4 separate regions of the Mus musculus genome follow, and regions 1, 3 and 4 are each reported to be linked to region 2. Evidence: microRNA targets listed by miRTarBase, many of them from high-throughput screens and not tested one by one. Region 2 holds a microRNA gene; each other region holds the end of a gene's coding sequence.
What was found. Region 2 holds the annotated microRNA mmu-miR-139-5p (UCUACAGUGCACGUGUCUCCAG, at 3,287-3,308, shown strand). A microRNA usually pairs through its seed, bases 2 to 8, with sites in the 3' UTR of a target mRNA and lowers its output. Matches are read on the target gene's strand: a 7mer-m8 pairs with bases 2 to 8, a 7mer-A1 pairs with bases 2 to 7 and ends in A, and an 8mer does both.

Region 1 (7,660 bases), not on the chromosome of region 2:
GGATACCTCTACTTCAGCTACGAGGTGCGTGGAGGCCTCTGGCCATACCTTTTATAAAGTGAGCCAGGCTTTTGATGAAGCCAAGGTCTGGTTCTCTATGAGGCTGTGGCTGCCACTTGTGAATCAAGTGGACCTTCAGTTAGAGAGCAACTCTGGGTGAGACTTGGATGAACAGCCAGCAACGGGAGCTAAAGCATATGGCTTGGTCTAGAACTGGAAGCTACAGAAGTGTGTTCCAATCCAATGGACAAGAGAGGCAACCTTTAGCTTTCCTCGGATATGAGGAAAGACAACACGTGCTAAAATAGTCACATAATTGTGGGGCACACACCTTTAATCCCAGAACTCAGGAAGCAGAGGCAGGGGGATCTCTAAATTCAAGGTCAGCTTGGTCTACAGAGTGAGTTCCAGGACAGTCAGGGCTACACAGAGAAACTTGTCAATAAAGAAGAAACGAGCCTGGCAGTGGTGGCACACACCTTTAGTCCCAGCCCTTGGGAGGCAGAGGCAGGCAGATTTCTGAGTTCGAGGCCAGTCTGGTCTACAAAGTGAGTTCCAGGACAGCCAGGGCTATACAGAAAAACCCTGTCTTGAAAGAAAAAAAAAAAAAAAAGAAAAAAAAAACAGAAAAAAAGAAAAAGAAAGAAGAAACAAGAGAGAGACAGAAAAGGGTCCCATAATAGATTTTAAGTGAAATCACTTGAGTTCATGGGGTGAGATAAGGTCAGACCTCCTGCATGTGCTAATCCTAACAACCTGTAGAATAACCGGCTCAAAGCTTTGTCTATGCACCCAGACAATTCTGTTCCTCTTTGGAAGGTGCCTATCCCTTGGGCAAGTACACCCAAAGGGGCTTAGGCCACCAAGGACCTTAATATTAAAGTTAGAGGTAACTTTGGTTTTTTTGTTGGTTTTTTGTTTTTAGGTTGTGGGGGCTCTTGGGGAGACAGGATCTCATGTAGCCCAGGCACTGGCCTCAAACAAGATACAGCATCAGTCCTTGCTGGTTTGTTTTGTTTGTTTGTTTGTTTGTTCTTTCTGTAGACCAGGCTGGTCTCAAACTCAGAAATCCTCCTGCCTCTGCCTCCCAAGGGCTGGAATTATGGGATTAAAGGCGTGCGCTACCACTGCCTGGCACCTTGCTGGTTTTTGAGTGATGTAGTAAGGATCTCTCTCTCTCTCTCTCTCTCTCTCTCTCTCTCTCTTTTACCGGTGATGGCAGGTTCAGCGCATTCTCGGGATGTCACATGACCGCCACATTGTTGCCACGGCACATACCCCGCAGGGTTTCCTTATTGACACTTCCCAGGATGTAAGGGGCCAGATTAACTTTGCTACACAAGAAACAGGTATGTATTCATCTCCAAAGCTACAATAATAGTCAAACATTTCTATGAAATTGAGAAATAAGGGCTGGGCAGTGGTGGCACATACCTTTAATCCCAGCACTCGGGAGGGAGTGGCAGGCATATCTTGGTCAGTTCAAGGCCAGCCTGGTCTACAGAGTGCTTCCAGGACAGACAGGACTCTTAAACAGAGAATGTAAGACAGGATGGGGCACTAAAGACCTGGTAATGAGATCTAGGAATTCCCACAGGCTTCTATCAGCTTTGTCTAAAAAATGAGCAGAATCGCTTCAGTTCTATACAAGTGTATCTCAACTTCGGAGTCTTCTATGAGGGGCCCGAGGTGGATCACAAGCAGAGTCAAAGGAAGCAACTGAACGACACTCTGGATGCGATTAAGGTAATGGGATGGGCATTCTTGGGGGTGTGGCCTGAACAAGGGAGGACTCATAATAAAAACCAAATGGGCAAAAAGAGCTGAACCCTTCAGCTCATTATGCGGCACGGCGCTCCTCTGGTACCAAGGCTTGGGCAAACAGTGGCTAACAGACCTGTCTAGTCCACTGCCTGTTTGTAATACTCATTCACAAACTTGTGCAGCTACCCTAGTACTTACAGCAGAACAATCTCCCGTCCCTGCGAGAAACTCTACACGGTCCTCACTGCCCCATCCCCTCTAGAATCTCCTAACCCTAGAAGCGCTGTTGCACTGTTCCTGTAGGTTTTCTGTAAACAGAAGCAGGCAAGTGGATTTTTATGGTCCCTTCTTTCACAAAGCACGGCTTTCGTTTGTTTGAGATAAGGTCTTACTATGTAGTCTTGGCTGACCTGAATTGAATTCATTTTGTAGACCAGGCTGGCCTTGAACTCACAGAGATCCACTTTCCTCTTGAGTGCTAAGATTAAAGGCATTCACCACCATGCCCAGTCTGATTCTTTTTTTTTTTTTTTTTTTTTTGAGACAGTTTCTCTGTGTAGCTATGGCTGTCCTGGAGCTCTGTAGACCAGGTTGGCCTCAAACTTAGCTCCCTGAATGCTGGAATTAAAAGTATGCACCACCACCGCCTGGAATTATTATTATTATTATTATTATTATTATTATTATTATAAATAACAGGGTCTCACACTCTGTAGCTCAGACTGGCCTTCAATTTGCAGCAATCCACCTGCCTCACCTTGAGTGCTAAGATTATAGACCCAAGCTGTCACACCTAATTTACATATAGTATGCTTGGCTAGTCCTTGGCCCCTTTCTTAGCTCTGAACATCCTGCTGTGTAAGTACAGCTTTGTTCCTGACTATCCACTCACCAGCTGACTACATGTGAGTTTCTACCTTTTGGCTCTCACAGTGCTGGTGATAATGTGTGCAAACAAGCTTTTGTGTTTTCTTTTCATGTAGCTACAAGTGGACTTTCTGGGCATGATTTAAACTGCTTAGTTTTGTATGAACTACCCGACAACTATGAAGATTCTGATTTCTTTCTTTCTCTTTCTTTCTTTCTTTCTTTCTTTCTTTCTTTCTTTCTTTCTTTCTTTCTTTCTCTCTCTCTCTCTCTCTCTCTCTCTCTCTCTCTCTCTCTCTCTCTTTCTTTCTTTCTTTCTTTCTTTCGAGACAGGGTTTCTCTGTGTAGCCCTGGCTGTCCTGGAACTCACTCTGTAGACCAGGCTGGCCTCGAACTCAGAAATCTGCCTGCCCCTGCCTCCCGAGTGCTGGGATTAAAGGCGTGCGCCACCACGCCCAGCAAGATTCTGATTTCTATCCATCCTAAAGTATTGGTGATAGCTGTCCTGGTGGTCTCATAAACCTAACAGTCTGCAGGGACAAGGTATTGGTTAGGAAGGTGACGGCATGTGGAACACGCATCTCAATTGATAGTGGCTTATACAAGTAACCTCAACAGAGTAGATCAGGATTCAAAGTCACCCTTAGCTACACACTGAGTTTGAGGCCAGCTTGGGCTATGTGAGAAGTAGCCCAAGTGCTTACCTTGAATGTTCAAGGCTGCTGAGTTTAGGATGTGGGGAGTTTTGTGGGTACTAGGCAATCCTCCTTACCACTGGGTACATCCCAAGCCCTAACTATGCCTCCTAACTTTAAAACTACTCCACCAATTTTTCTCAAACAAAGTCAAAGTACCATGTATTACCAACTGCTGTAGCACTGTTTCTCAGACTCCTGAGTCACAGGTCACTTAGATCAGGGCAGGTAAGACCCAACAGCAGCCAGAGTGGCTTTCCTTCTTCCCACAGGACAGCACACAAAGGGTGGAGAACCAAGTTTTCCACATGTGGCGCTTCTACAACTATGCCAGGATGAGAAAAGTGGCTGACTTCTTCCTCCTGCAGTCTAACTACACCTATGTGAACTGGTGGTCCACAGCTCAGAGCCTTGCTATTGTTCTTTCCGGGGCCCTCCAGCTCTATTTCTTGAAAAGACTTTTTACTGCTTCAACTACTGACACAAAGAAGCCAAGATGCTAACATATAGCCTATTTGTCAAAGCTTTGATCAAATGGGCTTTGGAAAGTTATTGGGGGGGGGGTCAACTTATGTCCCCTTTCTCTTGTGTCCACCAATAAAGGCAAATGTTTAACAAAAAGTGAGTTCTGCTGCTGATCATTCTAAAATACGAATTAAGTGCTAAAAGCTAAAAGTACTGTTTATCTGAGGCAGGGTTTCAATATGTAGCCTTGGCTACTAGAACTTGCCGGGTAGACCCAACTCACCCCAAACTAAAGAGATTCTGCATCCCCACTGCTGGCAAGGTGTGTAACCCCATCCGCAGCCTAGAAACATCTTTATCCAGCTGTCCCTCAGCCTTCACTGACGCACGCCTTTAATCCCAGCAGAGGCAGGCGGATTTCTGAGTTCGAGGCCAGCCTGGTCTACAGAGTGAGTTCCAGGACAGCCAGGGCTACACAGAGAAACCCTGGAAGTGGGTTCAAGGATGAAGCTCCCTTCAGTAAGAGCACCTGCTTTGTATGCAGTTTGGGCCTCGATCCCTGGCACCACAGAAATCAGGGTGGTGGCTCTCAAATCTGAACTCTAGCACTGCAGAGGAAGCACTAAGATCAGCCTTAGGCAGTTCAAGACCATATCTCAAAGTACGTTAAAAGCTCTGAAAGAGTTGATACGGAGACAACTTTTTGGAGTTTAAAAAATTTTAATCCATTGTAGAGGACTACAAAGGTCAGCAATGTCCCCACCTTCAACCTTGTCCCAGGGATTGAACACAGCATCAGGCTTGGTGGCACATGGCTGATCCACCCTACCAGGCTGTCCACTGAGCTATCTTCTTGGCCTGTAGTGCCCTTCAACGGTTGGAAATATTTTACTTTATTTAAAAGATGTTACCATTGGAAACTGGTGTGGCGACAGACCTATAATACCATTACCTGAGAGGCTAAGACAGCCTGGGTCCCATAGCATTTCAGACCAACTTAGATATAATGTGACAAATGTCTCAAAAAATAAAAATGCCCCCTAAAACTGACATAACCTGATCATATCTTAAGAAACTGTTCTGCCGGGTGTGGTGGTGCATGCCTTTAATCCCAGCACTCGGGAGGCAGAGGCAGGTGGATTTCTGAGTTCGAGGCCAGCCTGGTCTACAAAGTGAGTTCCAGGACTGCCAGGGCTATACAGAGAAACCCTGTCTCAAAAAAAAAGAAAAAGAAATTGTTCTGAAGTTAGGCATGGTGGGGCACATTTTTTAAGGCCAGTATTTTGGAGGCAAACAGATCTCTGAGTTTGAGGCCAGCCTGGTCTACAGAATGAGTTCCAGGACAGTCAGGGCTACAGAGAAACCCTGTCTCAAAAGAACAAACAAAAACAAAACAAACAAAAAAAACAAACAAAAACAAAAAAAAAAGGGAGGTGGGGGAATTGAGCCTGGTATGGTAGTATACCCATTTAATCTCAGCACTTCAGAATCAATGGATCCTTGAGTTTGAGGCCAGCCTGGGTACATTCTAAGCAGAGATACATAGTCAGAACTTGTTTCAATTAAAAAAAAAAAAAAGTAACAAAATCATTTTAACACAGACAGGGAAGATGGCTCAGCAGTTCAGAAAGAACATTCTCTTTTAGAGGACTGAAGTTTGGTTCCCAACACCAACAATGGCCAGCTCACAACTGTCCTTACCTCAGGCTCCAAGGAATCCCAAGTGTTTTCTGCCCTCTGAGGATACCGCTACCCAAGCAGGATATACTCACACAGACACGCACGAACAATTTCCTGTTTTGAGACAGGATAACTCTATCCCATGCAGGATGCTTTACAACTGCTATTTTTTATTTATTTATTATATGTAAGTAAGTACACTGTAGCTGTCTTCAGACACTCCAGAAGAGGGAGTCAGATCTTGTTACGGATGGTTGTGAGCCACCATGTGGTTGCTGGGGTTTGAACTCCGGACCTTTGGAAGAGCAGTCGGGTGCTCTTACCCACTGAGCCATCTCACCAGCCCCTACAACTGCTATTTTTAATTCTGAATATCACTGTTACACTGATGACTGGAGGTGTTTTTTCAGTTTTGTGGGTTTTGGGTTTAAGACTGGCCAGGATCTCCTTATGTAGACCAGGCTGGCCTTGAACCTATAGAGCTCCATCTGCCTTTGCCTCACCCTCAAGCCCCCGTGCTGTAACTAAAGATATGCACCACCATACGGCAGGGTCATGGGTTTTTTCTTTTAACAAAGGAAGAAAATGAAGCCTCTCTAAGCAGAGAACTTGTCCACCACCACAGCTGGCAAGGGGCAGAACTGAGGCTTGAATACAGACGCTTCCACGCTATACCCCACTTAACACCAAGAAAAATAGCCAAAATGCACCTATTAAATTTATTAGGATAGCTTAGTGGTTAAGACCACTGCTGTCCCTGCAGAGGACCTGAGTTTAATTTCTGGCACCTATACGGTGGCTCACAACCAGTAACTCTAGTTCCAGGTCTGAAATCACCTTGACTTCCTTAGGCACCAGGCACATAAGCAGTGCACATACGTACATGCCAACAAAACACTCACACATATGAAATAACAAATATAAAACCATTAAAATTTATTAAATTCCATATGTAAAACCAGAGGCTCATATGGCCGTTTCTACCTTTAACATTAACACACAATAGAAAGTCCACTGTGCTATCATGAGCCTGGAAAACAGTGTTATCACAGATAACAGTAAGATGGCTCCTGTCCTCAGTGAAGTAACTTAGAAACCATCACTCAGAGCAAGTCTTCTGATCCAAACAAAGACGACGCAGACACAAAACAGAAACACTCTATTTACTCACACAAAACACTCTCAGGTTCTGGTTTGTCTGTTTTAGATTTTTGAGACAAGGCTCACTATGTAGCCCAGGCTAGCCTTGAACTCTCCAAGTAGCCTGAGCTGGCCTTATACTTGTGATCCACCTGCTTTTGACTCTAGAGGGCCAGAGACCCTGTTTTCACGCCATTTCTGTTGATAAGAACCCAAGTTGCGTATCTCAGTGTTGTCCAGATTTAATCTGATGGCCGCACACAGGAAACAAAGCTAAGTCCTCTCACACAGCAAAATGTTCTTGGAATGACCGTCCTAAGTCAGTGTCTCTTCATGGCGTACGTACTCCCCAATGTCTGCTTGGTGGAACACCACAATTGCCATGGGGTCCACTTTTCGGCAGTCTTGGGTAGACTTTGCTGCCACCCCAAAACCCTGGAATTGAAAGAACAGACATTCATTTATAAGGAAACAAAACAAAACAAAAACTATATTGAAACAGCTGTATCTTTGAGAACTGTGAAAGGAGCCAAGAAGTCAGTCTCCGAGCTGCTGACTGAAACTTCATCCTTTCCAGTGGGTACCTGGCATTTGCCGTGATGGATGGCTACCGTGGCTACTCACCAGAGGAATGTCCGCCATGGAATAGACAACCACTCCCTGGTACTGAGATGTGTTCTCAGTAATTCGACCCAGACCGGATTTCAACACATGGTTTCCATACAAGAAGGACTGCTCTGCTCCCGGCTTTACCCACACTTTATACTGAAAGAGAGTTAAAAGCCAAGACACAAGGATGTTGGGCTATATCCCTAAATGCGGATTAGCAGCTGCTTCCGAGTTTAAGGAGAGGTGGGGAACCTTTAAGTTGTTTGGACCCCCCCCCCACTTTTTTGTTTTTGTTTGTTTGTGGGTTTTTTGTTTTTTTTTGAGACAGTGTTTCTCTGTGTAGCCCTGGCTGTCCTCGAACTCAGAAGTCCGCCTGTCTCTGCCTCCCAAGTGCTGGGATACCCCAATTTTTGATCTTTCACCATGGAGTTCCTTCCTCA
Region 2 (7,000 bases):
AAGGCAAATAAATAGCTTTGGATGCCAGCCTGCTGCTGGGTGGGGCTGGATGAGTGCATGAAGAGCCTGCTTTTGTCCCTGGAACCCCACCAGCTGGGATCCTGTACATCAATGCACAGTGACGAAGGTCCTGGCCAGTTTCTGCTGTGCCTCTCTCTGGGGATTGGTTCTCTCAGCTGAAAAATGGAGGTAGGGAGGAGGTGAGTCCCTTGGAGATTGAGAGAGACAATGACACTTGGGATCTAGAACAAATGAAAATAGGATGGGGGTGTGGAGACCTGGAGGGGATAATAAGAGTACAGATGCAATACATGGGGCCCCCGGAGCCTACAAGGTTTCCCCAGCAACTTCATGGTTCCCTGGAGGATGTGCTGGGTCCCTGAGGCCTAGCCCCTGCCCTGCTATATGTAAGGAGCAGGGAGAGAAGAGATAGAGATGAGAGCCAGGGAACCAGACAGGCTCCTGAACCAGGCCAGGGCTGGGCCTGAAAGGTCACAAGAGAAGAGAGGATACTGGGGTGTAGGAAATGGGGGGACAAGAGTGCCAATCTGAAAGGGATAAAGAGGGTCATGGGTGAAAGTCACCCATTGAGCAAAGGCCTGAGTTTGAAGAGACTGGGCAGAGAAATAACTCAAAACGTCAGTGTCCTCTGCTCTGGATGCTGCTCTGGAGCTGCCATGGGAAAGTTGCCAACAGCTCCTCCCAATCTAGGAACCCAGACCTCAGAGGAACAGGGAACAGGGCCACTCCACAGGGGAGTGGGAACTCGTGGGTCACACTTATGTTTTAGCAAAGTGCTGCACAGGGTGAGGGAGCCCAGAGAGAAACACAAAGACAGGAGCATGCCTGAGATGAACCCTCTCCAGAAGATTCCTCACACCAGCCCCCCCGGCACCCCCCCCCCCCCAGTAAAGAAGGGCTATTTTTAGGAACAATAAAAGTGCTCACACATTCCAGCAGGGGCAGAGAGAGTGAAAAGAAGGGCAGGAGTCAGCGTAGAGGAGGAATCTCTCCTCCCTAGGTTTCCTTAAAGGGTTTCCTTGTATGTTGGGGGTCTTCCCCGGCTGGTCCTGGCCTCGACAGTCCTGTCTCCTATCCCCTTCTGACTCTCACGTGTTTCCTTGTTTCTGAATTGGTCTCTGTCCCTGTATGTCTCATACTCCCATTCTCCTGGGATTTGGGGAACAGTTGGGACGAGCCAAGTTGTGAGGATGGAGCCAAATACAGTCAGAGGAGGAAGCAACATGAGGCTGTGGAATCGACATACACCAAAGAGACACACCAAGACAAGCAGACACAGAGGTCCCTGGGGAGGTACTGGGAGGGCTGGGGACACTCAGGACCAACCACCAGGCAGGTACCATGGGACACTTAGTTCTCTGCCCAGCACCCCTGGTCAGCCCTCCCTTCCTGCCCTTCTGTAAGCCATACATCGCCCTGTGTCAAGTCAGTGCCATTTAGCATTTATTATCTATTGTGGGCACAGGAGGGAAGGGGACAATGGAAGAGCGGGAGACAAGAGGCTCCACCCAGGCCTAGAGAGAGACACCCAGTCCCATTCCAACATTGGAGAGATGACAAGTCTATCCCTTGGCCAAAGCAGGACTTGAGAAGTCCAAAGCCACAGGAGAGAGGGCCTCGCCCCATGCCTTTAGGGGAGAACCTGGCTATTTTTTTTTTTTTTTGTCTCCTCTGACCTTCCATACACCCCATACCAAACTGGGCATCCAATGTCATGACACCTGAGGTCTAAAGACGTTGGTCTCATAGGAATTCCCAGGAGGACTGGGGTGGAGACAGGTGTTCCCCATGTAGATGACGTCCTTGAATAAGAGGTGCTGCTCACCTGCTCTTCCTGGGACCCTAGGCTTTTCCCACTTGGAGATGATCCTGAAGAGCAGAAGGTCTCCTGGCTTGCCAGATACCTTGAAAATGCTGTCAAAAGTTCTCAGGGAAAAGCATCCTCTCATTCCGTGGGCTGTTTGTCTACGTCTCTCATCACGCCAGACTTGGGATACAGAGACCGCCATTGTCTCCCCACCTGGGACCTCCAGGAACTCCACTTCTCTGCTCAGGAGGTCGCTGGCCTCCACCATTTCTGGGCTCTCATTGGAGACTAGATGATGCTAAGAGCAGAAGAGCTATGGGACAATCAGGATGCTGTCCTTTCCCCCAAAAGCTCCTGGCCTGATGGGGGAGCCAGAGAGGGCAGTGTGGCAAGGTGATGACACACAGCACCGGGAAGGAGCATCCATCAAGTTGTGAGGGTCCGAGTGAGCAGACCATCACTGGCTCTCTCACCCACCCACTCTTGTCTGACCATATCTTTTCCTTTGGCATACTTCCCTTCCTGACACTGGTCCAGCTAGTCACTCGACATTCCTTTCTCCTGAGTGGACCATTATGTCTGACTTGCAGAGGCTTCTAGGCTTGCTGGGTCAAGCTCTGGTCCTATCTCCAAGGCCACATGAGAGGTGGGGTCGTAGACATTCAGGCTCATAGAAACCGGAGCAGGAGGCCAGCCAGTTCACCGAGACCCTTTCTCGGGGTATTGATTCCCAGAGTCTCTTCTTTCTTGTACACCCTGGGGAACAGTGTACCCAAGCTTCCTTGATGCCAAAACATCTCCCCAGACACAGCTCTGAGTCACAGATACTCACCACAGTCCCCAGTGACTGTCCCACTGTATTCAATTCAACTCTCATGGTCACAGAGGCAGGAAGGTTAGAGACCACAGGAAACCAAGATGACGGGAATTGTGAGGAGACTATGGTGACATGTATGGGAGCTGGGCCTTACTGGTTAGAAACCTGAGGGCTATGGGGACAGAGTGGTCCTACTGTGTGGAGGAGGCAACTGAAGATGGGTAGGGTGAGGAGAAGTCAAAGTCTGACCCAACTCAACTCATCTTAAAGCTTCCAGGCCAGGGCCATCACCTCCTCCCGATACTGGGCTCTTGTCTCCCTCCTCTTTCCATTTCCCTAATCTTTCCCTTCTAGACTGGAGAGTAGACTGTCAGTCTGAGAGGACTAACAACCCCTGCCTTCCCACCTGGCTGCTTCTCCTCCTTCCCACTCTCTATCACCACACTTGGCCCTGGATGGCTTTAAAGGGGTCAGTACAGTGGGAGTGCCTGGGGTAGAAGTTCAGCCTGGTTGGGGAGGAGTGGGAGGTCCAGGGGGGGACCAGCTATGGTAAGGGATGAGAGAAGCCAACAGTTGTCCCAAGGGTCCCCCTCAGGGAGTGGAGGTTCCCCTGGGAGGCGCCAGGACAGGCGCAGGTGTATTCTACAGTGCACGTGTCTCCAGTGTGGCTCGGAGGCTGGAGACGCGGCCCTGTTGGAGTAACAACTGAAGCCAGAGTCTTCGAAGGGTGGTGGGCTAAGGGGGAAGAGGGCATGGTGGGCAAAAGAAAGGGGGTGGGGGAGAGAGAAAAGGAGGACAAGGGGGCCCCTTCCTGTAGTACTTGGCTCTTGAGCTGCAGGTGGCTCCTTCCACGTGCCCCTGTGTCACCAACTCAACGATGGCCACAGCTCCTTTTCTCCTTTCTCACCCTTATGCCTCCTCTCCTTGGGGATCTTTCTTGTGGAGTCTCTTCATGTGGGGGTAGCATCCAGCTGTCCCCATGGCTACCCTCACTGGAGAAAGGATCTACCTTCCCTACATCCCGGTCTTTACACCCCTGTGCCTCTAAAGTGGGGTGAGTGAAAGGCACGTCTCAGGCCAGCAGCAGCTAGAAATTGGGGAGTTGGTAGTGCAAATTCATCAACCTCTTCCCAGACCAGCTGATGCAGAAATTCTGGGGTGGGGACAGCACTGTGTATTTCAACAGTCCTCCAGGTGACTCTGGGCCATGCCGTACTTTGGAAACCACTGAGGGACATCTGCAACCACAATCAGTACCTGAGAAAGGTACCTTCCCTTCCCCATAGCCAGAGTCACTCAGGGCTTATGAGGTGGCTCACTTGGCATCTGGGTTGCCCAACATCACCTAGTCTCTTTCCTTTCCTTTTGCTTCTGGCCCAGCTCAGCCTTGCTACTGGGAAGTCGTGGATGCAAGTGTTAGCACACACAAGCAGCTCTTGTAATATTTTCAGGTGACAGGTCTGTTAGAAACAGCTCTTTGGGCAGGTGGCAGGCGTGGGCGGTGGGGAGGGAAAGGAGCCACCTTCTCCTGCTTCCTCTGTTTTCTGCCTTGTGTCTGGGCAGCTGTGAAGAGCCAGAGAGGAAAACTGGGCTTCTGGACTTGGGCTTGGGCTAGGGACTTTCCTATTCTGAGTTTCAAGGAGTCCTCTTAAATAGTTATACTAAGTAACCTAGCTCTGGCTAATGGAGGTGTGCCCTGGGCATGGAGATAGATGCACTCCCCATTCTCCAGGAAAGATTAGGAAATGTGTGCATTGCTCTCCAGAACAAGAGGATGGAGACAGAGAGGGGGGCAGGTGGCATCTGCTCCAGGCTCCTGGTTTTCCCTACCGTGACCACTTTCTGGCACCTCTATTCATGGCTGCATTCTGTCTGTTGATGTTCTCCCCCCATGTTCTCAGGATGATTTCTTGGAGATCTGGGGGAGGAGTGGGCAGGAGAGACAGGAGTGATTGGGGTGGGGATATGCAGGAAAGAGAAGGAGGGTGGGCAGAGAAGCCTTCCCGGAGAGAGAGCCAGGATGTGGAGGTGGAAATGACATGGCAAGACAGGAGAGCAGTGTGTGACAGATGGACATCGCCTAGGGTATGATGGGGAGAGGCAGAGAAGCACTCGGAGGGACCAGAAGAGCCTGACCCAGAGGGATGGAAAAAAGCAGACAGGCAGAGGAGCTCCCAGGGAATCTCCCTTTGGAGGAAGATATCAGATTCCAGTCTGTGAGGTCAGCCCCTAACCTCAGGCCAGGAGGAGACACAGAGCAAGATGGATCGGCAGAAATGGTTCCAGGGTACAGTTTGGTTCTTACTCTGGAGTCCCATGTTATTACTTTCTTGTAGGGAGTCCAGGTGCCAGCAGCAGGGCGAGCAGATGGCAGGTTTGTGAGTTAGGAAAGTCATGGAGGGTTATAGATGCAGAATAAGACAGCATCTTCTGTCAGTGACCCCTTACTCAAGGCCATCTGTCCCTAAGGATGGCCCCAAAGGAGAGAAGACCAAAATTTCTGGTTTCATATGATCTTAGGAAGGAGTTAGAAGCAATTCAATCTGGGCCCTCTGCTCTCCCCAGTCGAACACACAAATGCTGATTCAGGCCCAGGTTTCAGAAAACTGGCAACCGCCCAGGTTTCAGAGAAACCCTGGTTCCAACAGCATTGTCCCCTTTCATGGTATCTAGGGAGAAAGACCAGCACACAGGAATGGCGCTGTCTGCGGTGCTGATGGCAGTCTCAGCCCACAGCAGCAGGTAGAGAGCCGCAGGTAAGGGAGCTGCAGAGAGCAAAAGAACTCTGTCCATTCTTCCACCTACTGTCCACAGACTACCACTGACCCTCCACCTATTTTCCTACCCACCCACCCACCCACCTACCCACCTGCCTCCCCTCCATTTCCTATCTCTTTACCCATTTGTCCACCCACCCACCCATTTCCCTTTTCCCTACCTATCTACCCACCTATCTGCCATCTAACTGCTCTAATCATCCATCTATCCATTGATTTTTCTCATCTGCTCATCTGTTCACATACCCACCATCTTCCCATTTTTTCAGTCTTCTATCTACTCATTTTCTACCCACTTGCCTATCTACTCATCCATCAACCCATCCATCCATCCATCCATCCATCCATCCATCCATCCATCCAGTCATGCACCCATCTACCCACCCACCTATTTTCCTAATTACTCACTCATCTACCCACCCACCCATTCCATGCATCCCTCCATCCACCTACCCAGTCACCCTCATCAAATTAGTCCATAAAACCACAGAACTAGAGGTGTCGCAGAGTGGAAAGACTCTTTTACATTCAGGAGGAAAACAAGGTTCAGAAGAGAAAGGGGTGTGTTCAAGGCCACATGGAGCTTCTGTCGTCAATCTGGGACAGGGCTGGAAATCATTGCTCTTGTCTATACGCCACAGGTTCTCCCCTGGGGTCTGGGAAATTGCCTGGTTGTTATGCTGATATTTTGATATTTACTCTGGTGTTTGTTCACAAAAGCTGCAAGGACAGGAAATGTGACAGCCTCCACCCACAATGAGCAAGGACTCTTGTGTATGTGCACACGTGCTATGTTCCCCCACCCCCGTGTGTGTGTGTGTGTGTGTGTGTGTGTGTGTGTGTGTGTGTCTGCCTGCATACTCCTAAATACTAGTCCTGACTGTACTCATTGGACGTATGACTGCATTTCTCTGTCTGTGCCTATATGAGCCATCTACATGGAGGTGTGAGCTAAGGTGTACACTTGACAGCCTGCCTATGTGGCACATGGTTGGGAGGGGGCGAGGGAGGACAGACAAACAAGTGGGTAAAAATGGCTGTTTTTCCCTCCCTTGAGAGTCCTGGGGTGCTAGGACTGTTTGAGGCTGGCTCCCTACTGTGCCTCCATTTCAGAAATTGCCCCATTTCCTCTTCACAGCTGCTCCCTCCCCCAAGGCTGCAGTTCTGTCCTGTGCCCAGGCAGGATTCGAATGTAACTCCCCTCCCCCAGCTGGTGTAGTGGAGGTTAAGTTACTCTCAGACCCTTGTGGTGGGGTGAGAGGTGGGTGTTCATTTGTGCAATTGGCATTTCAGCGAGCTGTACAGGCCCCTCTGAGTGGCCTGTTTCCTTCAATCGTTCCCACAGCTAACACCTCATTCTTGAGCAGGTCAGACTCCAAAGCAGATGGAGAGATGGCTGCCAAGCCCGGAGCCTCAACTCTACTAGTCTGCATCCTACTTACCCGGGCAAGGATGGAGAACCCCTCCTTGCTGGTGCCCCAACTCTCCCCAAGCTATCTTACCTCATTCCCTCTACCACCATCACCACCACCGCCATTTTCTTGCCCTTGGCCTAAAAAGGCACAGCAAACTGATCAA
Region 3 (7,600 bases), not on the chromosome of region 2:
TTGTGTTTCTTGTCCCTCCACTCTCTCTCCCTTGCCCTAGGTCCTTGCTGATTGTCCCTGCAAGTCGAGGCAGAAGTGATTCTATGCTTTTCTTCTTTCACTGTGTGTGTATGTAGGACAGAGGTTGGTGTCAGGTGTTTTTCTCTGTCACTCTGTATCCAGGTCCTTGCCCAGTTTTCTCTCCACATTCTCACCCACTCAACATCTTTTGTTTCTCTTTAAAAAACAAGAAAAATAAGAAACATACCCCCACCCAAAAGTGGAAACCCAAATACACAAGTTAAAAACCAATAAGATTTAAAAATGCCCAAACAAAGCAGTATAAGACAAATAGTGTATGAAAACATCATTGAGTTAGTTTGTGTTGAACTGGGTGGGCATGGGGCCTATCCTGAAGTGTGGTTAACATACCCAGTATATTTATGATAGACCACAACTACAAGCTGAATAAACCCTTTTCTCTCCAAGTTGCTTTTGGTCATTAATTCTTTTTTAAAAAAAGCTTTATTTATTATTATATGTAAGTACACTGTAGCTGTCTTCAGATGCACCAGAAGAGGACATCAGATCTCATTATGGGTGGTTGTGAGCCACCATGTGGTTGCTGGGATTTGAACTCGGGACCTTCAGAAGAGCAGTCGGTGCTCTTAACCACTGAGCCATCTCGCCAGCCCTTGGCCATGGTTTTTATCACAGCAATAGAAACCAGACTAGAACCAGTAGCTGCAATGCTTGCTGTGTCCTTGTGGGTACACAGCAAGCATTTCACCCACTGAACTATCTACATAGCCAGAAACCACAATTTTGTCAACTCTAAATCATCTCTTAAGTTCTAAGCTCTAAATTGCTTGGTCAGCCTGTAGCTCTTACTGAAATGGTTTTTCAATGTTACTGAAGCCAAAGGCTTTTGAGCTGTTGTAGTTTTTCTCCCTCATTGTCTTCCATTGTTCCTTACCTTGTTCAGTTTTACAGGTCATTCAATTAAAAAACATATTTATTCACTTTCTTTCCACAGCTTCCTTGACTTTAAAAAAATATTTATTTTCTTTACTGTGCATTAGTGTTTTACCTGCATATATGCCTATGTGAGAGTGTTGCATCCCCTGGAACTGGAGTTACAGTTTTGAGCTGCCATGTCAGTGCTGGGAATTGAACCCAGGTCCAGAAGCACAGCCAGTGCTTTTAACTGCTGACTTTTTGTTATTTCTTTTGCCAGTGACCACCTTCTCTGCTCTTCATAACAGTTAACATGATTCTTAACACTGTTGCAGTTCACAAAACTAGGGTAATTAAGTTTGTTAGAAATTTGTTACCAACCTCTGTAGTTATCTTCATGGAGTAGGTTCTGCTACTGTGATGGTTTTTATATCCTTGGACCAGGGAGTGGCACCATCTGAAGGTGTGGCCTTGTTGGAATAGGTGTGACCTGGTTGGAATGGGTGTGGGTATAAGATCCTCACCCTAGTTGCCTGGAAGTCAGTCTTCCACTAGCAGCCTTTGGGTGAAGACATAGAACTCTCAGCTCCTCCTGCGCCATGCCTGCCTGGATACTGCCATGCGCCCACCTTGATGATAATGGACTGAACCTCTGAACCTGTAAGCCAGCTCCAATTAAACGTTGCTTTTTATAAGACTTGCCTTGGTCATGTTGTCTGTTCACAGCAGTAAAACCCTAACTAAGACAGCTACTTAAAAAAATGGTGGGTGTAATGGCACATGCCTTTAATCCCAGCATTTGGGAGGCAGAGGCAGGCAGATCTCTGTGAGTTCAAGGCCAGCCTGGTGGACCTAATAAGTTCCAGGCCTGCCAGAGCTACACATTCTCTCTCTCTCCCTCTCTCCCTCTCTCTCTCTCTCTCTCTCTCTCTCTCTCTCTCTCTCTGTGTGTGTGTATGTGTCTCTGTGCACTTGAGTTCAGTACCCGTAGAGACCAGAAGAGGGCAGGTGTTGGAGCCTCTGGATGTAAGTAAGAAGCAGTTGTGAGCAGACTCAAGTGGAAACTGGGAATTGTACTTAGGTCTCCTCTGAAAGAGCAATAAATTCCCCCTTCCCCTACCTCCCTGCCCCCAGAAAACAAGATGCTTTCAATATTTCTCAATAAAAAATAAAACCTCAGGCTGGAGAGATGGCTCAGCGGTTAAGAGTACTGACTGCTCTTCCAGAGGTCCTGAGTTCAATTCCCAGCAACCACATGGTGGCTCACAACCATCTGTAATGGAATTCAATGCCCTCTTCTGGGGTATCTGGAAATAGCTACAGTGTACTCATATATATAATAAATCTTAAAAATTATTTTAAAAAAGCTGTGGCAGTGTATGCACACACAAAATTAAGACAAAACAAAAACAAACCTCTATTTAAAACCATGGTTCTCCACCTTCCTAATGCTACGACCCTTTAATCGTAGCATGTTATGGTAACCACAACCATAAAATTATTTTCGTTGCTATTTCATAACAGTAATTTTCTACTGTTATGAGTCATAATATAAATATCTGATATTCAGAATATCTGATCTGTGACCTCTATTAAGGGGCTGTTGAAACCTTAGAAAGGGGTCACAACTGACATTTAAGAACCACTAATCTAAAGTATGAAAAAGTATTCACTAGCTAGTGTCCAGTTATTTTATTATTGAATGAGTTCTGTAATAAAAGTCTTAGAAATTTCAATTCTACCATCCCCTTTCTGTATTAAAAATTTTTTTGTTTGACTAAAAGCTGTTTTTTTTTTCCCTTTTTTAGTCAAAGTTGACCTGGAATCCCTAGAGATCCACCTGCCTGTCTCCCAGGTGCTGAAATGAAGTGTGTGTCATTTATAAATGCTTAGCCCTTCATTTGCAGTTTTCCTGTATGTAAAATATGTTTTACACATTAAATATCTTTCCACATTCTCTTTGGACAAATCACTACTGGCTTCTAATTCAAGTCATAATGAGCTAACTTTTGGAGAGAATTTTGACAGGCACTGAATGCTGTTTAGGAGAAGTCAAGAGAAGCTCAGGTGAACAAAGACCAAGTGTGATGGTTTGTATGTGCTTGGCTCAGGGAGTGGCACTGTTGAGAGGTGTGGCCTTGTTGGAGTAGGTGTGGCCTTGTTGGAGTAGGTGTGGCCTTGTGGTGTGAGTTTTAATACCCTTGTCCTAGCTGCCTGGGAGTGAGTATTCTGCTAGCAGCTTTCAGATGAAGTTGTAGAACTCTCAGCTCCTCTTGCACCATGCCTGCCTGGATGTTGCCATGTTCCTGCCTTGATGATACTGGACTGAACATCTGAACCTGTAAGCCAGCCTCAATTAAATGTTGTCCTTATAAGGATTGCCTTGGGACTGGAGAGATGGCTCAGCAGTTAAGAGCACTGACTGCTCTTCCAGAGGTCCTGAATTCAATTCTAGCAACCACATGGTGGTTCACAACCATCTTTAATGGGATCCAATGCCCTCTTCTGGTGTGTCTGAAGATAGTGACAGTGTACTCACATATACAAAATAAACCTTAAAAAAAAAAAAGGGCTGGGCAGTGGTGGCACACACCTTTAGTCCCAGCACTTGGGAGGCAGAGGCAGGTGGATTTCTTGAGTTCAAGGCCAGCCTGGTCTACAGAGTGAGTTCCAGGACAGCCAGGGCTACACAGAGAAACCCTGTTGGGGGTGGGGTGGGGGGAGGATTGCCTTGGTCATTGTCTCTGTTCACAGCAATAAAACCCTAACTAAGACACCAAGGAAGATGTCATGAAATTAAATCCTACAATTATTGCAAATGAGATTCAACATCATTTTCTCAAATAATGTGCTTTATTCTACTCTCTACTCCACCTTAACAATCCTATCCCTGTAGACAAATCTCAATTAGTCATGAGAATGAAGACATCAAAAACGCAAGTGGGTTTTCTTAGTGTCCTTATTTATAGCAGTCACTGTAGCAGTTCTCCCAAGAGAACTGACTGTGGAGCCAGTTGTTGGCTGAGCCACACATTCTGAACTGAGCCACTTCTCAGACCCTGCACTCTGACCTTGTATTCACAGCTTTTAGGCACACTGCATTGGTCCTCTCTATACAGGACCAAGTCTACTTCTAAGATTCTCATATTTAAAATTATACAAAAATCAAAATTCTTTATTTCCCCAAATTAATTTCTCTTTGGCATCCTGGACATAATCATATTGAAAACCCTAGCATGGGTTCTGAAACCCAGGGAGTTATGAACTCAGATCTGGGTACTACCAAACAATGGCCAAATAATTTGGGAAATGAACTGATTTTTCCTAATTTTGCAGGCTTGTTTTGAGTATTGACAGTATATGTGTGAAGCCTTTCTTCTCAGGAGTAGTAGGGAATAGACACCCTTGTCTTTTCTGACTGGCCCTAGAGATCTAGGCAGGTCCCAATACTTTTAGAGATTCCTTTCTTTTCTCTCTTTCTTTCTTCCTTCCTTCCTTTCTTTTTTTTTTTTTTTTCTTTCTTCCTTTCTTTTCCTTTTTAAGATTTATTCATTTATTTTATGCATGAGTACACCACCATTGCTCTCTTCAGACACACCAGAAGAGGGCACCAGACCCCATTATGGATGGTTGGGAGCCACCATGTGGTTGCTGGGAATTGAACTCAGGTCCTTCAGAAGAGCAGTCAGTGCTCTTAACCGCTGAGTCATCTCTCCAGCCCTGAAATTTTCTTTTTAAGAATTATTTTTAAAATTAAAAAAAATTAGGGCTGGAGAGATGGCTGGGCTGGAGAGATGGCTCAGAGGTTAAGAGCACTGACTGCTCTTCTGAAGGTCCTGAGTTCAAATCCCAGCAACCACATGGTGGCTCACAACCATCAGTAATGAAATCTGATTCCCTCTTCTGGAGTGTGTGAGGACAGCTACAGTGTACTTACATATAATAAATAAAGTCACCCAAGTGAAAAAAAAAATTAATCTTATGTGTATGTACTTTTGCCTGTGTGTATATGTGCACCACATGTGTGCCTGGTGTGGGCAAAAGTCAGAAGAGGACTCAAATCTCCTGGAGCTAGAGCTACAGATGGTTGTGAGCACCCAACTGAGGCTGGGAATAGTGCTCCAGTCCTCTGCAACAGTAGTAAGTGCTCTCATCCACAAAGCCATCTCTCCAGTCCTGTGAAGTTCCTTTATAATTATCGTGGCCACCATCCTAGACTAAGGCCTCTGTGTCTAACAGTTTCCTTGGGGACTGCAACATTCCATCCTGTAGGGAAGTTTCTTAAGCATGAAGGTAAACTCACAAGCTGCAGTGTGCTCTAGGTTTCTAGATTTGTGAGCTGTCATGGGTGCCAGAGTGGGCTTTGGTGATGCGGCTGCCTTTGAGACATCTCTGCTACAGTAACCCCTCACTCATATACGTGTAAATAATCCCAATAAAACTCATTGGTTCAACTTAGGGTTTGGTAGTATCCATACTTGTTTTGCCATGGGTCCCTTACCTGCCATTTCCCCAGGAAATTTCTTGCCACACAACATCCTATTTATCACTAGAAGATCTGCTGTGGTAGCCACTGGTACTGCTGACTTCAAGCCATTCCACACTGGTCTTTTTCTGACCATTCTGGAACTCTAAACTAAGCTGGCCTTCAACTCAGAGATCCAGAGGCCTCTCCCTCCCAGACTAAAGACACGCACAAGCACCAGACCACCTTGGTCTCCTTAAATAATTCTAAACATAGCTCCAAGGGGTTTTGTTTTTGTTTTTTCGAGACAGGGTTTCTCTAGCCCTAGCTGTCCTAGAACTCACTTTGTAGACCAGGCTGGCCTCGAGCTCAGAAATCCGCTTGCCTCTGCCTCCCAAGTGCTGGGATTAAAGGCGTGGGCCACCATGCCCCGCTGTCTGTGATCACATGATAAAACTCATTTATCTGCTAATTTGTGCATTTGTGTGCCAGCCTACCTTTCACCTGTAGCTCACACTGTTTCCTGGCAATGTTTCATGTGCCAGTGCTCTTCTGTTTTTAAGTCTGCAGTTGAGCCACTCACTAGGTGGTCCTCTTGCTACTCAAGGTTTAGCATAAGGTGGAGACAAGCAGTGTTCTCAAGTGATCTCTTCCCTGGAAAATGACTCCCAGCCCTTCCAAACATCTCTGTATGCTTACTCATAACAGTAGGAAACTCACCTACTGGTTTTCTTTCTTTTTTTTCTTATTTTTGGTTTTCGAGACAGGGTTTCTCTATGTAGCCCTGGCTGTCCTGGAACTCACTGTGTAGACTTTGTAGACCAGGCTGGCCTCGAACTCAGAAATCCGCCTGCCTCTGCTTCCCAAGTGCTGGGATTAAAGGCGTGCGCCACCATGCCTGGTTTATGGTAACCATGTAATGAGATGGTTTTGTGCATTTATAACCTTGTTCAAGCACCAATCACCCAAAATGAAACTCCACAACTAACAGTCAGTCACCCACAGTTCCATGCTCCTAGAGTTCCCAATAACTTCTAATTGGCCTAGTCTCTACAAAGTTACCTATTTTATACAAACAAAATCACACTATGGGTCTTTTGCTTGGTCTACTTCACTAAGTGTTTTTCAATGTTTCATATTCATCACTTTTTCAAAACCAGGGTAACTGCTGTACCTTCCTCTGACTTGGACAACCACCTACCTCAACAGATCATCTTTATGATGATCCACACTTATATAAGTACAAATCACAGCAAGAATTAAAGTTTTCATCTTTAATGAAATGACTGTGGAAATAACATATATTTCCATGACACCAGTACTACAGTCTTCGGAGTCACAGCAAGATACACAGAATTACATCCGTAATTACTATGAATGCCAACATTTCAGGCAGTAATTTCTGTTACATGGCAAACAAGATCAAGAACGCAACCATCAAACAAAAGAGACCCATAGCTTCAGACAAGGCAAATCCCAGGATAGCATATGAGAACAGCTGCTGCTTCAGTGAAGGGTTTCTAAAAGAGACACAACACAGATGACTGTTACTGTGAAGCAACGTTGATGTCAGCACATTGGGTAAATGGTAGAGTCAGATATCTAGTATGGGGATCTTTGCAAGTCTCATGGGGGTGCTATCTCCTATACCACTTTGCTTTTGTCTCTCAGAGTATTTTACCCACTCCTAATCATGTGGCATAAAGTCAGGGAGCTATCTTCGTATGCAAATATAAATCCTCAGTTTACACCACCTTGAGGGGTCCTGACATTTGTGATCTCCTTGACTCTCCTGACTGGTTGGAGTTATAGGCGTGTTCCCTAGCCCCTAGCTCTATCCTCACTTATTTAAGTGACCAGTGCACACACAGCTCAGAATATAATGCAAGACACAGCAGACACTTCATTCAAAAGGGCTACCATTATTTCATCATTTCCCTCTTTCCACGTCTACTTTCCCACTGAGTCTTCACCTTACTCTGACAGACATGATTACCTGGCATAACCAATGATAAGACTGCCAAAGACTGTTCCAATACCAGCACCAGAACCAGCAACTCCTACTGTTGCAGCACCTGCACCAATGAATTTGGCAGCAGTATCAATGTCTCTGCTGATTACACTGGTCTGAAACTCCCTTCGGATCAGCTGACACACACCATTCTGGGCCCCATTAAAAACTGTAGAGCCCTGGGAAGA
Region 4 (7,660 bases), not on the chromosome of region 2:
TGCGGAGGCCGCGTCTCAGCTGCGCCCTCGCGGGACAGTAGGGCCACTTTTTGGAATGATAGCTTCCTAAGTTAAGGGATGCACTTAACTGACTGGAGTTCGCTAGACACTTCCATCCCGTCTTCCTCTCAACAGAGACTTCCTGTTCCTTGAGCTCCCTTGGGCAGCGATTTGAAGGTTCCTCAGTTTCAGGACCGAAGGACCCTGGGCCACCACCTTCTTTCCTTCAATGGAACACCACCTCTCCCCTTTCTGGGGCACCTTGGGATGTGGTCTTGGTGAGTGAAACTTGGGGTGCTGACTGCTGGGAAGGAAATCTGAAAGCACAGAACATTGTGGGGGTGACCCTGGCCTTATCGGGCTCTAGAAGTCTTGTTAGTGTGTGGGGTGGCAAATGGATTTCTTTTCCCTTAGACTGACACGGAAGCAGGCCATTTACCACACTTGGGGCTGTGTGAGTCCTTTCTGAATTCAGAGTAGGACAATATCACCAAGCAGACACCTCTTCTGAACCGGAACTGATTCTGGCTTCGGAGGAGATCCTGAGAATCTTACGCAGAGTCAGGAAGTGGTCACAGATTTGGGAAGCGCATTGCACAGCTCAGTCATGTTCCTTCGACGGCTTGGTGGCTGGCTACCTCGACCTTGGGGTCGAAAGAAATCAACAAAGGCTGATTTGCCTGCCCCAGAACCCAGATGGGTGGACAGCTCCCCGGAGAATTCGGGGAGTGACTGGGACAGTGCTCCAGAGACCATGGGAGATGTGGGGCCCCTTAAGACCAAGGATTCAGGAACACGGAGACCCCCCGGGGCTGCTCCAGAGTCTAGCAGGGACCTCAAAGTGGATCAACTGGGGAGCAAAAGAATGGATTCCCTCAAGCGGGACAAGACTGCCTCTACCATTCAAGAGCCTGCAAGACTGGAGTCTGGAGGGGCCATTCCCAAACTAGACTGGGATCCTGTGGATTCAGGTGGCGTGAAGAACCTTGGAGTGTCCGCTCAAGGGAGACTAGGCACCATTGGGCCAGAAGCCCTGTTGGAGAAACCTGGTCGCCGTCAGAAGCTGCTGCGTTGGTTACGGGGGGAACCAGGGGCTCCTTCACATTACCTGCAGGACCCAGAGGAGTACCTGCAGATCTCTACCAACTTGACCCTGCACCTGCTGGAGCTGCTTGCCACAGCCCTGCTGGCTCTGTGCTCCAGGCCACTCCGAGCCATCTTGGATGCTTTGGGCCTTCGAGGACCTGTGGGCCTCTGGCTTCATGGGCTGCTATGTTTCCTGGCCGCCCTACATGGGCTCCACGCTGTGCTGAGCTTACTTACTGCCCACCCCCTGCATTTTGCCTGCCTCTTTGGCTTGTTGCAGGCCCTGGTGCTGGCTGTCAGCCTCCGGGAACCTGTTGAAGATGAGGAGACCGCTGATTGGGAGAGTGAGGGGCAGGAGAGGGAGGCCAAGGAGCAGAGGGAAGGTCCCGGAAGGATGTTGTGACTGGGAGAGGGTGGGAGCAAAGGGTAAAGATAGTGGGGTGGCCTTTAGGAGGAAGGTGGGGAAACCCAGATTGTAAGCACAGAGACCTCAGGGATGGGGAGGAAACTCAGGCACAGGAGCTCCTGTCACACTTGACAGACAGGGCTGGCTAGGATGGCCAGTAATGGACAATGGGACATCACCATTGAAGTCACCAGCTTTTTTTTTTTTTTTTTTTTTTTTTTTTTTTGGTTTTTTTGAGACAGGGTTTCTCTGTATAGCCCTAGCTGTCCTGGAACTCACTCTGTAGACCAGGCTGGCCTCGAACTCAGAAATCCGCCTGCCTCTGCCTCCCGAGTGCTGGGATTAAAGGCATGTGCCACCATGCCCAGCAAAGTCACCAGCTTTTGTTATTTCTTGCTTTTACATTTACTCACTTTTTTTTTTTTTTAAATTTCCACCTCCACTTTTTAAAAGCAAAATAGAATAAAAGCAACCGTGGAGAACGGACACCACAGGGCCCTTTCCAAGCGCAGGGGTGGATGGGGCCAGAGGCAGGACAGAGATCTCTGCATTAAGAGTTGATGGGGAGACCCGTAGTGTCCCTTGGATCCTAGGACTAGAACCGTTTAGAGGAGAGTGAGGCTTTGAGGGAGAAGGGGCTTCAGGTGCCGCAGTACCTGCAGTGAGGGTCTGCAGGTCGGTGGGAGCCAGAAGAAACAGAGCTGCTGTGGGCTGGATTGGCATGAGGACCAGTACAGAAGAGCTGGCAGCTCTGAAGGGCAGTGGGGGAAGCACCGTGACTGCCTCTCCACTCAGGCATTGCTCACTCAGCAATAAATGTGCCACACTACATCCTAAATACACCAGTCTAATGTGAGAGGTTCCACTCAGTGTCCTTCCTGATGCCTGACAGCCGGGGGTGTGAGGTGGTGGAGGTGTCCGTCAGGGGGTGGGGTGGGAGGGGAGGGTCAAAGTGGAGAAATGATATCTTTGATGTCTGCAGACAAAACCCAGGAGATGAGGACTGACAAATCATCTTTATTATCCACGAGAGGGGGCAGGAGTCGCTGGCTTCTCCACTCGAAGCTGGGCTCCTATCTTGTCTGTCTAGGACACGGGTGAAGTCACTGGTCACTTGCTGGACAGCGGGCAGGCCTCTGTGGGGGGAGGAGGGAGAGAGTAAGAGGGTGGTCGTCCAGGGGAGGAGTGCCGTTGGCACTGGAGTAAGGTAGGAGACTCTACATCTGGCCCTCTCCTCCCTTTATCTAAAGCGGTGGTTCTCCAGCTGTGGGTCATGACCCCTTGGGGGGGGACGACAAACCACCCTTTCACAGGGGTTTCGTACAGATACCCTGCATGTGAGATACTTAAATGATTCATAAAAGTAGCAAAAGAGCAACAAAATAGTTTTACGGTTGGGGGGTGGGGTGGGGTGTCACCACAACATGAAGAACCGTGTTAAAGGGCGTTTGGAAGGTTGAAGACCACTGCTCTAAATTCTAAGAAACCTATCTTTCACCTCTTTTTTTAAATTTTTTTTAAGATTTATTTATTATATGTAAGTACACTTCAGACATTTTTTTCTTCTCTCTCTGGCCCCGCCTGTCTGGCCCCGCTCTCTCCTGCCCAAAGATTTCTTTATTTATGTAAGTACACTAGCTGTCTTCAGACACCCCAGAAGAGGGCATCAGATCTCATTACAGATGGTTGAGCCACCATGTGGTGGCTGGGATTTGAACTCAGGACTGTTGGAAGAGCAGTCAGTGCTCTTAACTGCTGAGCTATCTCTCCAGCCCCTCGTTTTTATTTTTGAAAGACAGCCTCACTATATATATAGTCCTGGCTGTCCTGAAACTCACTTGTATACCAGACTGGCTTTAAATCTGTGGCAATTCTTCTGCCTCTGCCAGCTGTGTGGCAGAGGTTACAGTGTGTGTCACTATTCCTAACTGCACATGAGTCCTTCTGGTACCATTCTAGCCCATAAGAATTAGAGGGGTCAGTGTACCCATTCTGATAATGTCTGCCTTTGGCCACGGCCCCTGCTGACATTGCACAGAGCTCTTTACCCACAGGAGACTTGGTGACTTCAACCCCTCACCTTGATTCCTGGGAGTCACTAAGAAGGCTTTGAAGTCCAAGCAAGAGGTCAGAGACTGGAATTCCTCCACACACTTCTCTGGAGGGTGTGGTGACCGATCTGGAAGGACGGGGAAAATTCAGGCCAGTCAGTGTTCCTGCTTCTCAGCCCTGGCTTCCCAGCTCCCTAAAGGCCTGCTGAAGTGCCCACCTGTTCTGAAAGAATGTTAAAGGGCCCCAACTAGGGAGCCTTTTTGGCCCCAGCTAGGTGGGCTTTTTAGCCCCAACTAGGGGGGCTCTTTAGCCTTCCAGTTTCCCTCGGACATTTGCTGCCTTGTATCCCCACTCACTGTAGAGGAGAAAGCGCTGGTAGCCCTGGCCCGTCTCTTTCAGCATGATTCCTCCTGGGCACGAGCTGGAGAACAGGTCTGTTTTCATGTCTGGGCGCCCTGTTGGGATCAGGAGAGAAAAGGAGGACAGATGCAGACTCACTGAACCAGGCCTACTAGTGAGGACCATGATCCCAGCTGCCCAGGAAACTGAGACAGGAGGGTTTCACATTCAAGGCCTATCCATGTTCAACACCCTGTGCTACAGGGTGAGCTCAACAACCATCAGGGCAACTTAGTGAAACCGCCTCAAACTAGAAAGGGTCTAGGGCTACGGCCCAGTGATAGCATGCCTGCCTCCTAAGAATGCAGGAGGTCCTAGGTCCAAGCCTCAATCCCGAGGGGAAACGGCTAAGGGAGACGAGACAAGGGGAGGGCTGGTGGGAACCAACCTTCAGTTCTGAGTTCCATGTTTCCTTTCCCTTCAGTCAATCGGTATGTCCACTTCCGGGGCACACAGACCCCACTTTTCCTGCAGAGGTGGCAGTGTTAAGATAGGAAGATGGAGTGTCATTCCCACCACACAGTAACATCCTTTATTCCACCGTTCTCTTCCCCACACCCTAGCTCTTTGGGTTTTGAGCCACTAAGAGATAGTGAGGCCCCATTCTGTCTCCAGAAAGTGACTTGTAATGCTGTGGAATTGAGTGGGCAGAAAGTGGGAGCCTGATGCTGGGTGTGGTGACTGTTCACAGTTGGGGCAGAGAACACACCCAGTGGTGTCTCTGCCTCCTTGCTCGACACTCACGTGCGGATGGTAGCACGAAGCTGGAGCTGCCTTGGGGCAGAGCCGGCAGCCATGTTGAAGACAATATTGTCCACCGGATCAAAAGTTGCCAACTCTTCCGTGGTGGAGGCTGCTCCCGCAATAAAGTACCACAGGCCCAGGTGGGGCTCTGGGGTCTGGAGAGGCAATGAAGGGAGCAAAAGGATGAGTTGCTGGGTGCATCACAAAAATCCATCCAACATCCCCATCTGTCAGCAGAGCAAGACTTGGGGCTTGCGATTCTGGTGGCCTTCAATGTTTGCAACAAGGAGCCACCAGTGCCTCCCACACACCCTCTTCCTCCCTTCCTTTTTCAACATGCTTTCTGGCCATCTTGAGCGACCCACCTACTCAAGACTTTCAGCTTCTACTATATAGGCGTTCCCTCAGTACATACCTCTGTGTCGTCCATTCCCAGCGCAGTTAGTTGACTGTGCTCAGGGCACTGATTCATGGAGTTAAAGAGAAGGCCATAGAGAGAGAGCAGAGCTGCCCAAACTTGGTGGAACATCTCGGGATGAGAGTTGGTGCTCTGCAGTTGAGGGGACCTCCGCCTTAACTGTTCTCTGATGGCCGCTCGGTCTACTCTGCCTCCAGCCCCCTCGCCTCGACCCTTGACCCTTTAACCTGCTAATAAGTAACTTCAACCTTGTTTTCCAACCCAAGCCTAGATTGACTATGGCATCGGGGCCTTCCTCCCCCTCTTCCGGATGCAACCACTCTACAATATACCCGGGCATGACCCAGTGACTCTGAGGCCTTAGGAGGAAAGCTGAGCCCTACAGTAGAAACCCAGTCTTCCATGCTGCATTTGATGGGAGCCCTGCTGCGATGAGAAGTGGCTGGATTAGGTCTTTCATTCATTCATTCACTGGGCAAGTCTGGAATTTCAGTTGTTTGCCAGGAACTAGCTAATCCTGGAGGACTTTTTTTTTTTTTTTTTTTTTTTTTTTAAAGCGGAAAACAGCTTTGCTTTGCAAACAATCCATTGCAATGTAAACTGATAAATGTTAAAACAGGCACCAGCCAGTCGCTAGGGCATGGTGGATTCTCCCCCCACCCCTTCTTTCTCTCTCTCTCTCTCTCTGATAGGGTTTCACTATGTCACTTTGGTTGTCCAGGGATTCACTACATAAGCCAGCTGGACTCATAGAGATCATCTGCCTGCCTTTGTCTCCCAAGTGATTAAAGGCTTGTGCCACTTTGCCCAGCTTGCATTTCTCCTGTGAGAGTATAGTAGGGGAACTGGTAAGAACACATGAAGGAAAAGCTCACTGACAAATGGGCTCACGTTTATTCAGATTTTGGTGGTAGTGAAGACATTCTATTAGACGCAAGTGTAACACTAGTATTAAGAGTGGGTCTGCTGCCGGGCGAGGTGGCGCACGCCTTTAATCCCAGCACTCGGGAGGCAGAGGCAGGCGGATTTCTGAGTTCGAGGCCAGCCTGGTCTACAGAGTGAGTTCCAGGACAGCCAAGGCAACACAGAGAAACCCTGTCTCGAAAAAACCAAAAAAAAAAAAAAAAAAAAAAAAAGAGTGGGTCTGCTGGGTGTGATGGCACATGCCTTTAATCCCAGCACTTGGGAGGCAGAGACAGGCCTGAGTTCGAGGCCAGCCTGGTCTACAAAGTGAGTTCCAGGACAGCCAGAGAGCTATACAGAGAAACCCTGTCTCCAAAAACCAAAAAAAAAAAAAAAAAAAAAAACAACCAAACACAAGAGTGGGTCTAACCCCTGACTTGACTGTTAGATGTGGGGACTCATGCATACCAAGCAGACTCAGAGGTAACAACGATCCAGCCTCCTGGGGCAACTGTACTAATTTCTATCTCTGTTTTCCCCATCTCTGGAATGGGCAACCCATTAGTCTCAGGATTAAATGGGACCATGCATACATCAAGTCTGAAGGAAATACCCATTATCATCAGTAACTGCAAAGCACCCACTGCAATTGCTGGTAGTGATTTTTAAAGATTTATTAATTTATTTTATTCATATGAGTACACTGTAGCTGTCTTCAGACACACCAGAAGAGGGCATCGGATCCAATTACAGATGGTTGTGAGCCACTATATGGCTGCCAGGAATTGAACTCAGGACTTCTCTCTAGCCCATGAAATTTTTATTTATTTGTTTGTTTGTTTGTTTTTGAGACAGGGTTTCTCTGTGTAGCCCTGGCTGTCCTGGAACTCACTCTGTAGACCAGGCTGGCCTCGAACTCAGAAATCCGCCTGCCTCTGCCTCCCAAGTGCTGGGATTAAAGGTGTGCACCACCACGCCCGGCTTTATTTTTGTTTTTTTGAGACAGAGTTTCTCTGTGTAGCCCTGGCTGTCCTAGCACTCACTCTGTAGACCAGGCTGGCCTTGAACTCAGAAATCCGCCTGCCTCTGCCTCCCACATGCTGGGATTAAAGGCATGCGCCACCACCGCCCGGCAGAAATTTTTATAATAAAATACTAAATGTGGGACTGGGGAAGTGGCTCAGCAGTGAGGGTACTTGGCAGATGGCAACCCAAGCTGAAGATCCCCTGGTCCCCACACAGTGAGAGGACACCACATTTCCCTCGGATCTCCACATTTGCACTGTGCTGTTGCAGACGCAGGCCATACACCCCTCCTCCATCCCCGAAAAGTATTTTTAAAAATATTTAACTTCTATTATCCCAGCATCTGGGATGCAGAGGCAGGTGGGTTTCTGTGAGTTACAGGACATCCAGACTTACATAGTGAAATCCTATCTTGGAAAAAAAAAATTCAAAACGTAAATATAGTCTATTAGAGTGACACACAACCCTGCACTGGGTGGTGGTGGGGGGAACATTGTCCTTATGAGTTCCAGGCAATTCAGGGTAACAGTGAGACAGCATGTAAAAGTCTCATCATACAATGCTTACTGGAAGTCTCATCAGTACTGGCATCTAAGAATAAGTGGGGAAGAATGCAGAGAGAGAAA

Region 1: the mRNA of Nip7 is a reported target of mmu-miR-139-5p. Seed matches in the 3' UTR shown: 7mer-A1 at 5,114-5,120.
Region 3: miRTarBase lists Atp5g3 as a target of mmu-miR-139-5p. Seed matches in the 3' UTR shown: 7mer-m8 at 6,723-6,729.
Region 4: miRTarBase lists D17H6S53E as a target of mmu-miR-139-5p. Seed matches in the 3' UTR shown: 7mer-A1 at 1,773-1,779.

The regions. Positions count from the first base shown.
Region 1 is chr8:107,057,763-107,065,422 of GRCm38, reverse strand. It overlaps Nip7 (NIP7, nucleolar pre-rRNA processing protein), which reads right to left. Exons shown (of 5, transcript NM_025391.2): 4 at 7,236-7,376; 5 at 4,492-7,046. The coding sequence ends at 6,927. It overlaps Tmed6 (transmembrane p24 trafficking protein 6), which reads left to right. Exons shown (of 4, transcript NM_025458.2): 1 at 1-24; 2 at 1,223-1,349; 3 at 1,598-1,746; 4 at 3,599-3,939. The coding sequence ends at 3,829. Among named protein-coding and RNA genes, the nearest start is that of Tmed6, 4.1 kb to the left of the region's middle.
Region 2 is chr7:101,472,096-101,479,095 of GRCm38, forward strand. It overlaps Mir139 (microRNA 139), which reads left to right and starts at 3,281; the gene lies at 3,281-3,348. All of the region lies in intron 1 of Pde2a (phosphodiesterase 2A, cGMP-stimulated), which reads left to right.
Region 3 is chr2:73,901,787-73,909,386 of GRCm38, forward strand. It overlaps Atp5g3 (ATP synthase, H+ transporting, mitochondrial F0 complex, subunit C3 (subunit 9)), which reads right to left. Exons shown (of 5, transcript NM_175015.3): 4 at 7,398-7,591; 5 at 6,661-6,921. The coding sequence ends at 6,807. Among named protein-coding and RNA genes, the nearest start is that of Atp5g3, 5.7 kb to the right of the region's middle.
Region 4 is chr17:35,126,508-35,134,167 of GRCm38, forward strand. It overlaps D17H6S53E (DNA segment, Chr 17, human D6S53E), which reads left to right. Exons shown (of 3, transcript NM_033477.2): 2 at 136-278; 3 at 415-2,348. The coding sequence starts at 608. The coding sequence ends at 1,489. Apom (apolipoprotein M) reads right to left here and starts at 5,294. Exons shown (of 6, transcript NM_018816.2): 1 at 5,103-5,294; 2 at 4,688-4,842; 3 at 4,332-4,411; 4 at 3,901-3,999; 5 at 3,573-3,671; 6 at 2,490-2,628. The coding sequence starts at 5,216. The coding sequence ends at 2,603.